3 linked regions of the Danio rerio genome follow. The protein of the gene in region 3 purifies or fractionates together with the protein of the main gene of each other region. This does not show direct contact. Links are inferred from orthologs where the notes say so. Each region holds a gene or a part of one and is shown on either strand. Other genes may lie near its edges.

Region 1 (4,046 bases), on a different chromosome or scaffold from region 3:
ATGTTTCCCATCCCTGTTCCTGAAGGCACACCAACAGTACACATTTTCAACCTCTTTCTAATCAAACACTCCTTAATCACCTCATCAGAACATAAGAAGAGACTGCAAAACCTGGAATGAAAGGGTCCGATAAGGGAGACATCCAAAACAAGTACTGTTGATGTGCCTCCAGGAACAGGGTCGGGAAACACTTTATTAGATTGTTTGATATCCATGTCAAAAGTGCACATGTGATGATTTGGTGCTTTACAAACTGACCTTCAGCAGGGAAAGAGGGAGTGCTGTGCTGCACAGCGTTAAGTTCCAGCAGCAGACGGTCCAGTTCTGACAGGTTGCTGCCCAGAGAGGAGTTCATGACGGCGGTGGGAGACTCAATCGACTTCTGTTTGTTGGGGAAACTGTAGACGTGCTCTTCCTCAGACTGCGACACGCGAGGGCTGCTGCTTTTCGGGGCGGAGTTGAAAGACTGAGAAAAGAAAAATGTTTTACAATTAAGTACATTAACTTTACAAATGAAAGCAAATTAAATTGCAACATTTTCACTAATAATTCAGACTTTTTTCACCTGGTAAAACAAATAATAAAAATACTTTTTACCAAATCAGAACTAAAATTTCAGAATTACAAGTCATTTCAAGAGTTTACACTTAGCTGATGATTAAAAAGTGTATTTGGCAGCTCATAAGAGCTCAGAAGATCCTCGAGCACGGGGCTCCCTCCTGTTTGCAGGACAAGAGGGGAGTTTGAGCTCAGGTAGATCTCGAGAATTCCCCTGCTTATTTATAGCTAATAGCAATTTAGGGATTGCTATGAAGAGATATACAGCCGCTTAAAGTCTGGTTTATACTCCTGTGTCAAGTGATTGGCATGACCCACGGCGCATGCAACGCGCGTAGCTGTGCGTTTAGACTTCTGCGCGCTGTTTCTGTTGTTCTGCAAAAACGCTGGTTGGCAGTGAGGTGTTTGTTCATCTGTGTCGAGTTTCTTCACTGGTGTGTTTTTTTTCTGAACGCTTCCTTAATGTACAAGTGGCTTAAACTCGCTCATTTTGAGGCAGGAACCGGCAGACGTGCACCAACTTTAACCATGAGGTAAACACAAAACACATCACCTCAAAAACAGTGGAGAATTGGCCCTGAATAGCACAGCATAAGGTAAGAGATGACAGCTGTCTGTGCTATCTGGGGCTGCTTATTGGTCATAAATGTATTGCTTTTACTCCTGCGCCATGGAGACACCGCGATTCATTCGAAAACTATTTAATATGTGAATATAATTCAGTAAAAAGAATGCTAGAACCGTATGAGCACCGGCAAGAGCTTTCATTTGAGCTATAACTTGTACATGTGTCATATATGAACAATATGAAAATGAAACAATGTTCAATACCCAGCTCGGGTATCCAAAATACTGTGTATTTAAGAGTAAATAACTTTTGTACAATAGAATAAAAACCAAAGTGATGCATATGTGGATAAAATATAGATTCTACACTTTCAAACGAAACCACTTATGGGGGTCTGGTGCAATGCTAGCCCTTTAAATCTTAAAGTGAAAGTTGATGACGTCACGGACCCAGTACCGGGTCCGCAGAGTTTAACTGGTTAAGCCTTTAAATGTCACATTAAGCAGAGTACTAATGTCTTGAAATGATATCCAGTAAAATATTATGTACTGTCATTATGGTAAATATTGAAGAAATCAGTTATTAGAAATGAGTTATTAAAACTATTATGTTCAGAAATGTGCTGCAAAATCCTCTCTCCGTTAAACAGAAATTGGGAAAAATACAGGAGGGCTAATAATCCAGGAGGGCTACTAATTCTGATTTCAACTGTATATTGCATATACTATTATCAAGATAACGATACTTTTTAGATGTATTATGCAGATCTAACAAATATAACCTTGAATCTCCTGAACCTGCTTAATGGCACAAGCCTCTGGAGCAACCAAAGATGAAGTGCTTTGCTTGAGGGCAAAACAAGCAGAAAGTGGAACAGGCCGCATCTGGTATTTGTCATAAGGTTAAAGGATAACCAAGGAGACTCATATAAAGAGCAACAGAAAACCCTTCAGGAAGTAATGATGATGCATTTTACCTGGGTTGATGAGTGCTTTGATTCTGGTTTTTCTACCCAAGATCCATTCAGAGTTTCAGCAGGAGGGGAGATTACTCGAGGCGGAGACGACACGTCCTGATAAGAGTCGCTTCCTCTGGGGCAGGAATATGGCGTCTCTTCTGGCAGAAAAACACCTTGTTTGGAAATGTGGGAGGTTGTGGACTCCAAATCCGCGAGAAGAGCATCTGTTAGGTAGAAATAAATAAAGCAATGGTTTTAATCAAGAAAACAGCTAATTTAAAGACTAAATAAACAAAATAAAACAAATAAATAAATTATTTTTTATAAATGTTATTTATTAATTCAAAAAATAAAATGTATTAATTTAAATAAATAATTTAAATAAAAAATAATTAATTACATTTAATTAATTTAATTAAAATGAAAAATAACATTAATTAAAACAACATTAACGCCATTTGAAGGTGTCAGTGTTGCTGTGAAGACTTGTGCGACCACTTTTAAGCTTCTCTCCTGACCTTGAAAATATGATTGGCTGAATGGTAGAAAAGCTGAATTAAGATCGTGTGTAGGGTCGAATCGAGATCATGATCTTTTTTCGATTAATCGTGCAGCCCTAGTTTGTTTTGTAGACTATCGAAAAAAAAGTTGCCTAAATGGGGATGATAATATTGATCATATTGATGATAATATTGTCCTTAAAATGGTGTTTAAAAAATTAAGAAACGTTTTCATTCTAGCTGAAATAAAACAAATAAGAAAAAATATTATCAGACATACAGTGAAAATTTCCTGAATCTGTTAAACATCATTTGGAAAATATAAAAAAAAGAGAAAGAATGTCAAGGGGGGCTAATAATTCTGACTTCAACTGTTCATTTCTATTTATTAGTTTTTTTAATTTGCAATAACTCTTTTGAAATAAAATGAATTATCTTTGTATTCCTAAATAATATTAGGTGGCCAAACTCGTATTTTAACGGACATAACGGTTTAATAAAAGAGGGTGTACTCATTTACCCTGAGCACTGTATAATATCATGCCCAGAGACGTAAATCCCGGGGGGGATGGGGGGGACATATCCCCTCCCTTCCAATTTATTCTGCTTCAGGAGTCAGTCTGTTGACTGTAAACAACACAACAAACAATGCAAAAAATAGAAAAATTTGCTTTGTTATTGAACCTGAGAAAAACTTTAAAGCTAATCATAATGGCGTAGTCTCCATGCTATACTAATAATGATGAAACCATTTTGAACTGCGGGGACATTTCTTTCTTAGTACAAATCGGCTGTATTATTTGTGTCCCCTTCAAAAAAATGCTGGAAAGAAATTTTATGTTTACTGTCTCCCCTACTGTTAAATCAGATTTACGCCCATGATCATGCCACACACCCCTTAAACATTCATAAAAAACAAAAAAAGCTTATAACAATTTGCTGATTCCAAGAGCTTCCAGAATTCTGATATGCGCTTTAGATTCACATTCCCTTCATTGGTTTTGCAAACAACATAAATCTATCAGAAATCAAGCGGCTTGTTGTTGAATAACTCTTTGTCAAGTCTCTTCACAACATGTCTCTTCCTGGTCTGGATCTGATCCTGGAACAGTGGGATAATTATGAACCACAGGACGAGGATGGTGAAATCACTTCGCTCATATGGGGTGTGGCCAAACCTTGCATGTAAAGACTGCTCTAAAACAACATGCCTACAGGGACAGATTCAGCAGGAAGAAAAGCGCAAAATGCATAAACGGACACACACACACACCTCTTAATGCACATAAGACGAAAAAAAATCAATGTTCAAAAGCCAAACGCTCAGGAATGGAGCTGAAAGCACTCTCTCTCTCACACACACACACACAACTAAGCCTGTAAAACATGCTCTTAAGGAACTATAGACCATCTGTGGTTAAAAGTCCTACATATAGCAATTAGATATGAAAAGAAAGCACCT
Region 2 (4,046 bases), on a different chromosome or scaffold from region 3:
AAGGCTTATTATAATATCAGTAAGATATATACAGTTTAAGTCAGCATTATTAGCCCCCCCCCCCCCATATATATTTTGATAGAACATAATTTATATAATTCTGTTTAACGGAAATATTTTTAAAACAATTTTCTAATAGTTTCAATAACTCATTTCTAATAACTGATTTATTTTATCTTTGTCATGATGACAGTAAATAATATTTTACCACATATTTTCCAACATACAAGTATGCACCCTAAAGTGACATTTAAAGGCTTAACTAGGTTAATAAGGTTAACTAGGCAGGTAATGGTAATTAGGCAAGTCACTGTATAACGATAGTTTATTCTGCAGGGCCCAGTTTTTCAACAGTAATCCAGTGGGATTTTGGATCACGGATTGGATCAAATCTTGGAAATGGGATTTTCAAAAGTAACAGGAATTTTGTATTAAGATCAGACCACGTAATTCAATCTTACATTGGATTTAAATCAAACCTGCCCTTTGGGTTATGTAAAACTTTGAACTCAAATTGGGATCTATTTGACACAAAAAAACAGGATTATCCTCATCCCATCACAAGGGTGGATTCAGTTTCGACTTTTTTTGAACCAAATAAAATAAAAAAGGTTTTGTTTTTTAAGTAAATGATCACAAACTTAATGGTTACTTATGATATATAAATTCTGTCATATTTAAAGTCTATATAAAGCATGTCACATCTAATGCGGTACGGTAAACAAAAACAGCAAAACAATATTAAAGCAGTATTGTATTAGAACACTACTGTAAACAATGTTATATCCTTGTTGATTGCAGTGTTTCTGTTTCTTACCATTAAACAAACAATGGCTGTTTGTGGCCACTGGTACTTTGCCTACCTGTTGTTTATTGCTAAGAGAGTAGGCTACACAATTGATTCCATTTGAGGCTTCTTTAAAACTGTTATAAAAGTAAGATGGATCAGTAAATCCTGGATAGCAAAACATGGGATTTTCAAATCTGATCTAAATAAATGTATGTGAAAACTGGGCCCTGATGTTTGAAATAAAATATTGCTAATAAGAGCGCTAATAATATTGATCTTAAAATGTTTTTCAAACAAATAAAACTGCTTTTATTTTAGCCAAAATAAGACAAATAAGACTTTTTTACTTATAGGAAATACTGTGAAAGATTCCTTGCTCTGTTAAAAAATAATTTGGGAAATATTTGGAAAGAAATCAAATAAGGGCTAGTAATGACTTCAACTGTATATAAAAGTATTTCTGGACTTGACATGAAAAAAAATCACACTGTTTTTTTTTTCATTATTTCACAGACTATCTGTTGTAAATGGATTAAGAAAGATGGAAGCTGCCGATCTGAAGTTTTCTATTGGCATTCTGCACGGCAAAGCAGATTCAGCTCTCTGTTTTCTGACATGGACAGCAAAACTGCGTTTTTCACATAACCATATTTATTCTACTGACGCAGGCATAAATTATCTCCATCTCCGCTTTCATTCTTTGCCACAGAGTTTCTTCCACAAAACATTTTATTTTTGCATTTCAATCCCACGTCTCATTTCACACGTTTAACGTTCAGTAACCCGAAGTGAATTTCAAAGGCGGGAACGTCAGCTTGACTTTGAGAATCGTTTTCACTTTGGCTGAGAGCGAATGCGAGGAAGATGAGTGGTTTTCAGGGCTGTCAGATGTGTGTATCAGCGGCGTGACGGGGAATCAAGGCGGATGAGAGCTGACAGGAACTCACCGATAGGGAGGAAGCTCTCCGACTGATGGGTCTTCAGCGGCCGTCTCCTCTCCTGAACGTGGTTTAGACATGCTGGTTGACTTCCACATTTATCCTTGTTGCTGTGAAGGAGAAAGACAAGTTATTTAGTTTCTTCTCTAGAAGTCTTTTAGGCTGGTATTAAGTTTACACCACTTTTAATTGCATTCATTCTGCTGGGCTTCTTGTGGCGTGACATGAATTTTTCAAAGTATAAATTCCATAAAGTCTCTCAGTTAGTGTGAGGGCATCCAGTCTGCGCTATCGTTTTTTAAAATCTGCACAGTGGTGAGCTGTTTTGACACATTGTTTCTAGAAGTTTTATGCTGAATTTGACATTGTTTCCAAAAGTTTTATGCTGAATTGTCACGAAGGAGGTTTTCACTTACTTTATGCATTTTAATGCTTAAAAGCTGTCGTTATTGTGGATCTGTCACACTGCAGGCCAGGGCTAATTAAATAAGCGGTTCAGCATAAATAATGTTTTTCAATTATTTGGACAGGTTGAACTTGTTCCCTTCCAAATATAAACTGTACTGTCAATGATTTCTTAGAGACTACCATTGAGAAATGTCCACCATTGAGAAGAGTCACTCCACAGTAATTGGTATAAAAAATTTTAATTTTATTGCCTGCCATTTTCAAAGTTGCCCTCAATTATGAGAAGCGGAATTGCTTGAATAACAGAACTGTTTATATATATATATATATATATATATATATATATATATATATATATATATATATATATATATATATATATATATATATATATATATATATATAGGCATGCAACTAACAGATCAAAAACCAAAAAAAAAACATATATATATATATATATTTTATATTATTTCTATATATGTAATTTTCTCTATTCAGATTTGACCTGTATATGAAGCAGATTTGCTTAAATAACACAACAGTTGTTTTTTATAATTAAACTTTTTAAAGAGTACACACTTTTTGTAATCACATTAGCACCAAGCTTTGAAAGTCAAATTGTTGAATGAAAGGTTAGATATATGAAATGATCATTTTTTTGTATTTTATGATTATTATTTTAATCTGCTGAATTGTGCATTACAAAATACACATTTCTGAACATTCTGAACATGCTAAATAATGCAGTTTGAGAACTAGAATCTTATATAAAAATCTAAAGCATAAATACATATATTTTGATTTCATATATATAAAACATACAGTATGTCCTATAATCAACATATATTTCAAAACATTGCAAATGGCAGATTACAGATTCTTTTCAACCACTGGAATAAAATAAATATTTTGTATTAGACATTTAAAATTATAGCTAATGTGACTAATATACAGTTGAAGTCAGAATTATTAGCCCCCCTTTGATTTTTTTTTTTTCTTTTTTAAATATTTCTCAAATGATGTTTAACAGAGCAAGGAAATTTTCACAGTATGTCTGACAATATTCTTTCTTCTAAAGAAAGTCTAATTTGCTTTATTTCGGCTTGAATAATAGCAATTTAAAATTTGTAAAACATTTTAAGATCAAAATGATTAGCCCCTTTAAGCTATATAAGTTTTTCGATAGTCTACAGAACAAACCATCATTATAAGATAACTTGCCTAATTACCCTAACCTGCCTAGTTAACCTAGTTAAGGTTTTAAATGTCACATATAGAAGTGTCTTGAAACATATCTAGTCAAATATGATTTACTGTCATCATGGCAAAGATAAAATAAATCAGTTATTAGAAATGAGTTATTAAAACTTATTTTTATAACAGTTTTTAATAAAATCTTTATTCCGTTAAAACAGAAATTGGGGGAAAAAATTAAAAGGGGAGGTAATAATTCTGACTTCAACTGTAAATTGTAAGTTTTTCATGTTTTTTTTTTAAAGAAAATTATTCTGTTTATCAAGGCGGCATTTATTAAATAAAAAGAAAATTTGTTAAATTCTAAAATATTTATAAAAATCTTAAATAACTGCTTTCTTATTCTTGCTTTTATTATTATTACCATCAATAATTATAACAACAACAACAACAACAGTGTGATTTCTAAAGGATCATGTGACTAAAGACTAAAGTAATGAAGCTGAAAATTCATCATTAAATCACAGCAATAAATGATTAAATGAAATGATAAACTTCTTTTGAACAGTTATTTTATAGTGCAATAATATTTCACAATGTTACAATTTGTACTGTATTTATGCTGAAATAAATGCAGTCTTGGTAAGCAGGAGAAGCTTATTTTACAACATTTAAAAATCCTACTGACCAAAACTTTCCACTAGTGGTGTATACAT
Region 3 (4,046 bases):
TTACACCTATGGACATAAGTTTTTCAGTGATCATAAGTGGTGTTAACATGCATTCAAATGTGTCTTATTTGACCTTTTGTGTTGGGATTTACCTTTTATTTTGCCATGCTCTATGGCACACTCACCGAAGTGCTCAGTGTGATGTACCTGTACTATTGAATAAACAAGTTCATGAATTGCAACAAACAAGCAAGCAAATGAAAAGAATGTGGATGACATTAGCAATTTCAATCACAGTCCAGTTGTTTTGGTAGCAGAGTGTTAGTATTAACAGCAAATATTAATATTTAGATTTATTTATTCATTTATTTTCCTTCGGCTTAGTCTCCTGATGCATCAGGGGTCACCACAGAGGATGCTCTTTCAGCTGCAACCCAGTACTGGGAAAAATCTTTACACACTCATACATCATATGCTCATACATTATGGCCAATTTAGTTTATTCAATTCACCTACCGACACGAATATAGAGAGAACAAGCAAACTCCACACAGAAATGCTAACTGACTAAGCTAGGCCTTGAACTAGCAACCTTCTTGCTATGAGGCGATTATGCTACCCACTTTGCCACCGTGTCGCCCTCTATTTTGAGTTACACTCTTCATTTTATAACATAAACTTAACCTTTCTCTCTTCTCTCTTGCAGAATGTGTTGGCAAAAGCCCTGTATGACAATGTGGCGGAGTCTCCAGACGAGTTGTCCTTTCGGAAGGGCGACATCATGACCGTGCTGGAGCGGGACACGCAGGGCTTGGAAGGCTGGTGGCTCTGTTCGCTGCATGGCCGGCAAGGAATTGTTCCTGGCAACCGGCTGAAGATTCTCGTTGGCATGTATGATAAGCAGCAACAGCAGCAGCTACAGCAGTTAGCGAACCAACCCAGCCCAACCCAGAGCCTCATCAACCTGCCTCAGAGTGCCTACAACAAGATACCCCCTGCAGCCCAGTACACGGCCATGCACCCCGCCTTCACCCCCTCTGGCTCTGCCAACTCCACCAACCCAGACGGCGTTTACATGCTGCCCCCCAGCCATGGCTCTAGCCTCTACCAGGTGCCCTCCGGCCCCCCGACTCCACAGCCCCAACCCAAGGCCCCCGCTTTAGCAAAGAAGCAAACTCATGTGCAGTACCCTCCCACTACACAGGATGTCTACCAGGTGCCCCCCTCCATTAACGCACCAGGCCAGGACATCTACCAGGTGCCACCCGCTGCAGGAGGGCAGTGTCCCGGGCAGGACGTGTACCAGGTGCCACCCTCTGTGAACCAGACACAGGATGTTTACCAGATTCCCCCATCTTTAGACAGGAGCTGGGACTCTCCCAAACCCATGGGGAAGGTAGGGAAAGATCCTTTTGTATACACATATATGTAACACGTTTTCAGACATTTACTTTCATAATAAATAGCTTAACCTAAAAGCTGTATTTAATTTAATTTAATTTAATTTAATTTAATTTAATTTAATTTTATTTTATTTTATTTTATTTTATTTTATTTTATTATTTTATTTTATTTTATTTAACTAAATTTTAAAATTTATTTAAATTATTTTATTTATTTTAATTATTTTATTTATTTATTTATTTACTAATTTTTTTGTTTATTTATTTATTTATTTATTTACACACTTGAAATATTATTAATAATAATAATAACAATAATTTTTTTTAACCTCTAAAATATGTGATATTGTGATATTGTAGACAAAATTTAAATATCATTATATATTAAGTATTAATTGTATTGTATTAATTATTATGATTATGAATATCACTATTACTACTGATATTATTGCAACTATAATTTTATATTTTTATTTATTCTTTCATCTTGTAATCTCCAATTGATTTCTTTTAATGATTAGATTTAGATATATAATAAACATTTTAAAACCACATGAAATCCATCTTTTTTTTTTCCTAAACCATATTCCATGTCCTATTATTAAGAATTGACTGGCTTGTGTTATTATTATTATTTATTTATTTATTTTTATGAAAACATTATAAATAAATAAATAATTTTATTATATGTATGCTTTAAATTTTATTTTATTTTCATTATTTTTATGTTTTAAGTATTATGTAGTGTATTTTCTATCCTATTTCTATCCTACATAATTAATTGGTGAATATAAAAAACATTTGATGATAATAAATAAATGTTTATAATATAACCTTCTCAACTGTTACACTTTAAATTCATTTTTGTTGACCATTTTCATACATGAACTTGTGTGATAAAATATATAATGAAAAACATACAGAAATATGATGTGAGAAATATAGACTGACAAAAGGAGGGGTTATGAAGGAGGAGTGAAAGATGGTCATAAATAATGCAGAGTTTGATAACGCCGCTGACCGTGGGCCACACAGAGTGAGTAAGCAGTTTTTTTGAGTGGTAACTTCAGGTTGAAGCTATGGGCAGTGACCGTCTTTTGAGAGAGTGTTTCAGGCCACTCTTAGGGCACTGAGCCATACTGTATGCAGTGGAGAGGGAAATCAAGTGTAAAGATGGAGAGGTTCAGCTGCAGGCCTGCTCTGTGTTGGCCACCTGTCATATCTGATCTACCTACAGCAATAGTGACTCAGTGCCAATGCTTCTGCTCATCCTGTTCACTGTTATGTAGGTTTTTAAAACTGTAGCATGCTAATGTTGTTCATGTGTATTGCGCATCATTACTTACATGTTGATTACATAATAAACAACTGAAAGCAGGCAAGGCAACGCCATGGCGCAGTAGGTACTGCTGTCACCTCACAGCAAGAACGTCACTGGTTCGAGCCTCTGCTGGGTCAGTTGGTGTTTCTGTGTGGAGTTTGCATGTTCTCCCTGCATTTGCGCAGGTTTCCTCGGGTGCTCCGGTTTCCCCCACAGTCCAAAGACATGCGGTACAGGTGAATTGGGTAGGCTAAATTGTCCGTAGTGTATGAGTGTGAATTAGTGTGTGTGAATGTTTTCCAGAGATGGGCTGCGGCTGGAAGGGCATCCGCTGCGTAAAACATGTGCTGTATAAGTTAGCGGTTCATTCCGCTATGGCAACCCCAGATTAATAAAGGGACTACGCCAAAAAGAAAATGAATGAATGCATGAATGAAAGCAGGCAGGCAGTTTTAACTACCATGATGCATATTACCTTCTCATTGTGTGGAGAGTTTCCATTGCGAGAAATGACTGTGGTCACACCATAATACAGTATCGGGTTATACAGGGTTTCCACAGATCTGGAAAGGATAGAAATTTGACAGGGTAATTTCCAGGGATGGAAAAGTCAAGGAAATTAATAAAACATATCCTGTAGTGCAGGGTCTGGATCATGAGGGCACCGCAGGGAATTTGTCAGCTGATTAAAAATATATAAAATCATGAATAAAAAAGCATTATTAAAATTTTGAAATATTTATGTTTATCCATATGTCAGGAGATTTTTAAGAAATTTTAAGACAACATAAGGATTCTTTAATAATAAAATAATTTGAATATTAAGTAAAGATCATGTTCTATAAAGTATTTTGGTACATTTCTGACTGCAAATAAATCAATTTTATTTTATATCATAAATATTAACTTTATTTTATATCATAAATATCATTATATATTCATTCATTCATTTACTTTTTAGCTTAGTCCCTTTATTATAAATCAGGGGTCACCACAGCGATATGAACCGCCAACGTATCCACCATATGATTTATGCAGTGGATGCCCTTCCAGCTGCAATCTAACTCAGCGAAACACCCATACACTCCTGCATTCACACACAGACACTACGGCCAATTTAGCTTATTCAATTAACCTGTATCGCATTGGACTGAGGGGGAATCCAGAGCACCCTTAGGAAACCAACGCAAACTCCTTACAGAAATGCCAGCTGACCCAGCCAGGGCTTGAATCTGTGACCTTCTTGCTGTGAGGCGATTGTTCTATTCACTGCGCCACCGTGATGCCCCTATCATTATATGTGAAATTCAATATCATTGGAAAACTCACACTTGCATTGAAATTGACATTTATTACTGGTTTATGGTTTTGTGGTCTAGGGT

Evidence for each region. The genes of interacting proteins can lie anywhere in the genome.
Region 1: the proteins of bcar1 (region 3) and pxna purify together in Homo sapiens (affinity purification with western blotting; 3 studies listed by BioGRID, with this or other methods). This does not show direct contact. The link is inferred for Danio rerio from reciprocal best matches to the Homo sapiens genes BCAR1 and PXN.
Region 2: the proteins of bcar1 (region 3) and bcar3 purify together in Homo sapiens (co-immunoprecipitation; 4 studies listed by BioGRID and IntAct, counting the BioPlex papers as one, with this or other methods). This does not show direct contact. The link is inferred for Danio rerio from reciprocal best matches to the Homo sapiens genes BCAR1 and BCAR3.

The regions. Positions count from the first base shown.
Region 1 is NC_133180.1:7,365,095-7,369,140, reverse strand, and holds part of pxna (paxillin a), read right to left. Parts: intron 2,368-4,046; exon of another isoform or gene 2,309-2,367; coding exon 2,103-2,308; intron 467-2,102; coding exon 259-466; intron 1-258. UniProt on the Homo sapiens protein: Cytoskeletal protein involved in actin-membrane attachment at sites of cell adhesion to the extracellular matrix (focal adhesion). Recruits other proteins such as TRIM15 to focal adhesion.
Region 2 is NC_133183.1:16,860,781-16,864,826, forward strand, and holds part of bcar3 (breast cancer anti-estrogen resistance protein 3), read right to left. Parts: intron 1,839-4,046; coding exon 1,738-1,838; intron 1-1,737. UniProt on the Homo sapiens protein: Acts as an adapter protein downstream of several growth factor receptors to promote cell proliferation, migration, and redistribution of actin fibers.
Region 3 is NC_133193.1:24,021,743-24,025,788, forward strand, and holds part of bcar1 (breast cancer anti-estrogen resistance protein 1), read left to right. Parts: intron 1-646; coding exon 647-1,336; intron 1,337-4,046. UniProt on the Homo sapiens protein: Docking protein which plays a central coordinating role for tyrosine kinase-based signaling related to cell adhesion. Implicated in induction of cell migration and cell branching. Involved in the BCAR3-mediated inhibition of TGFB signaling.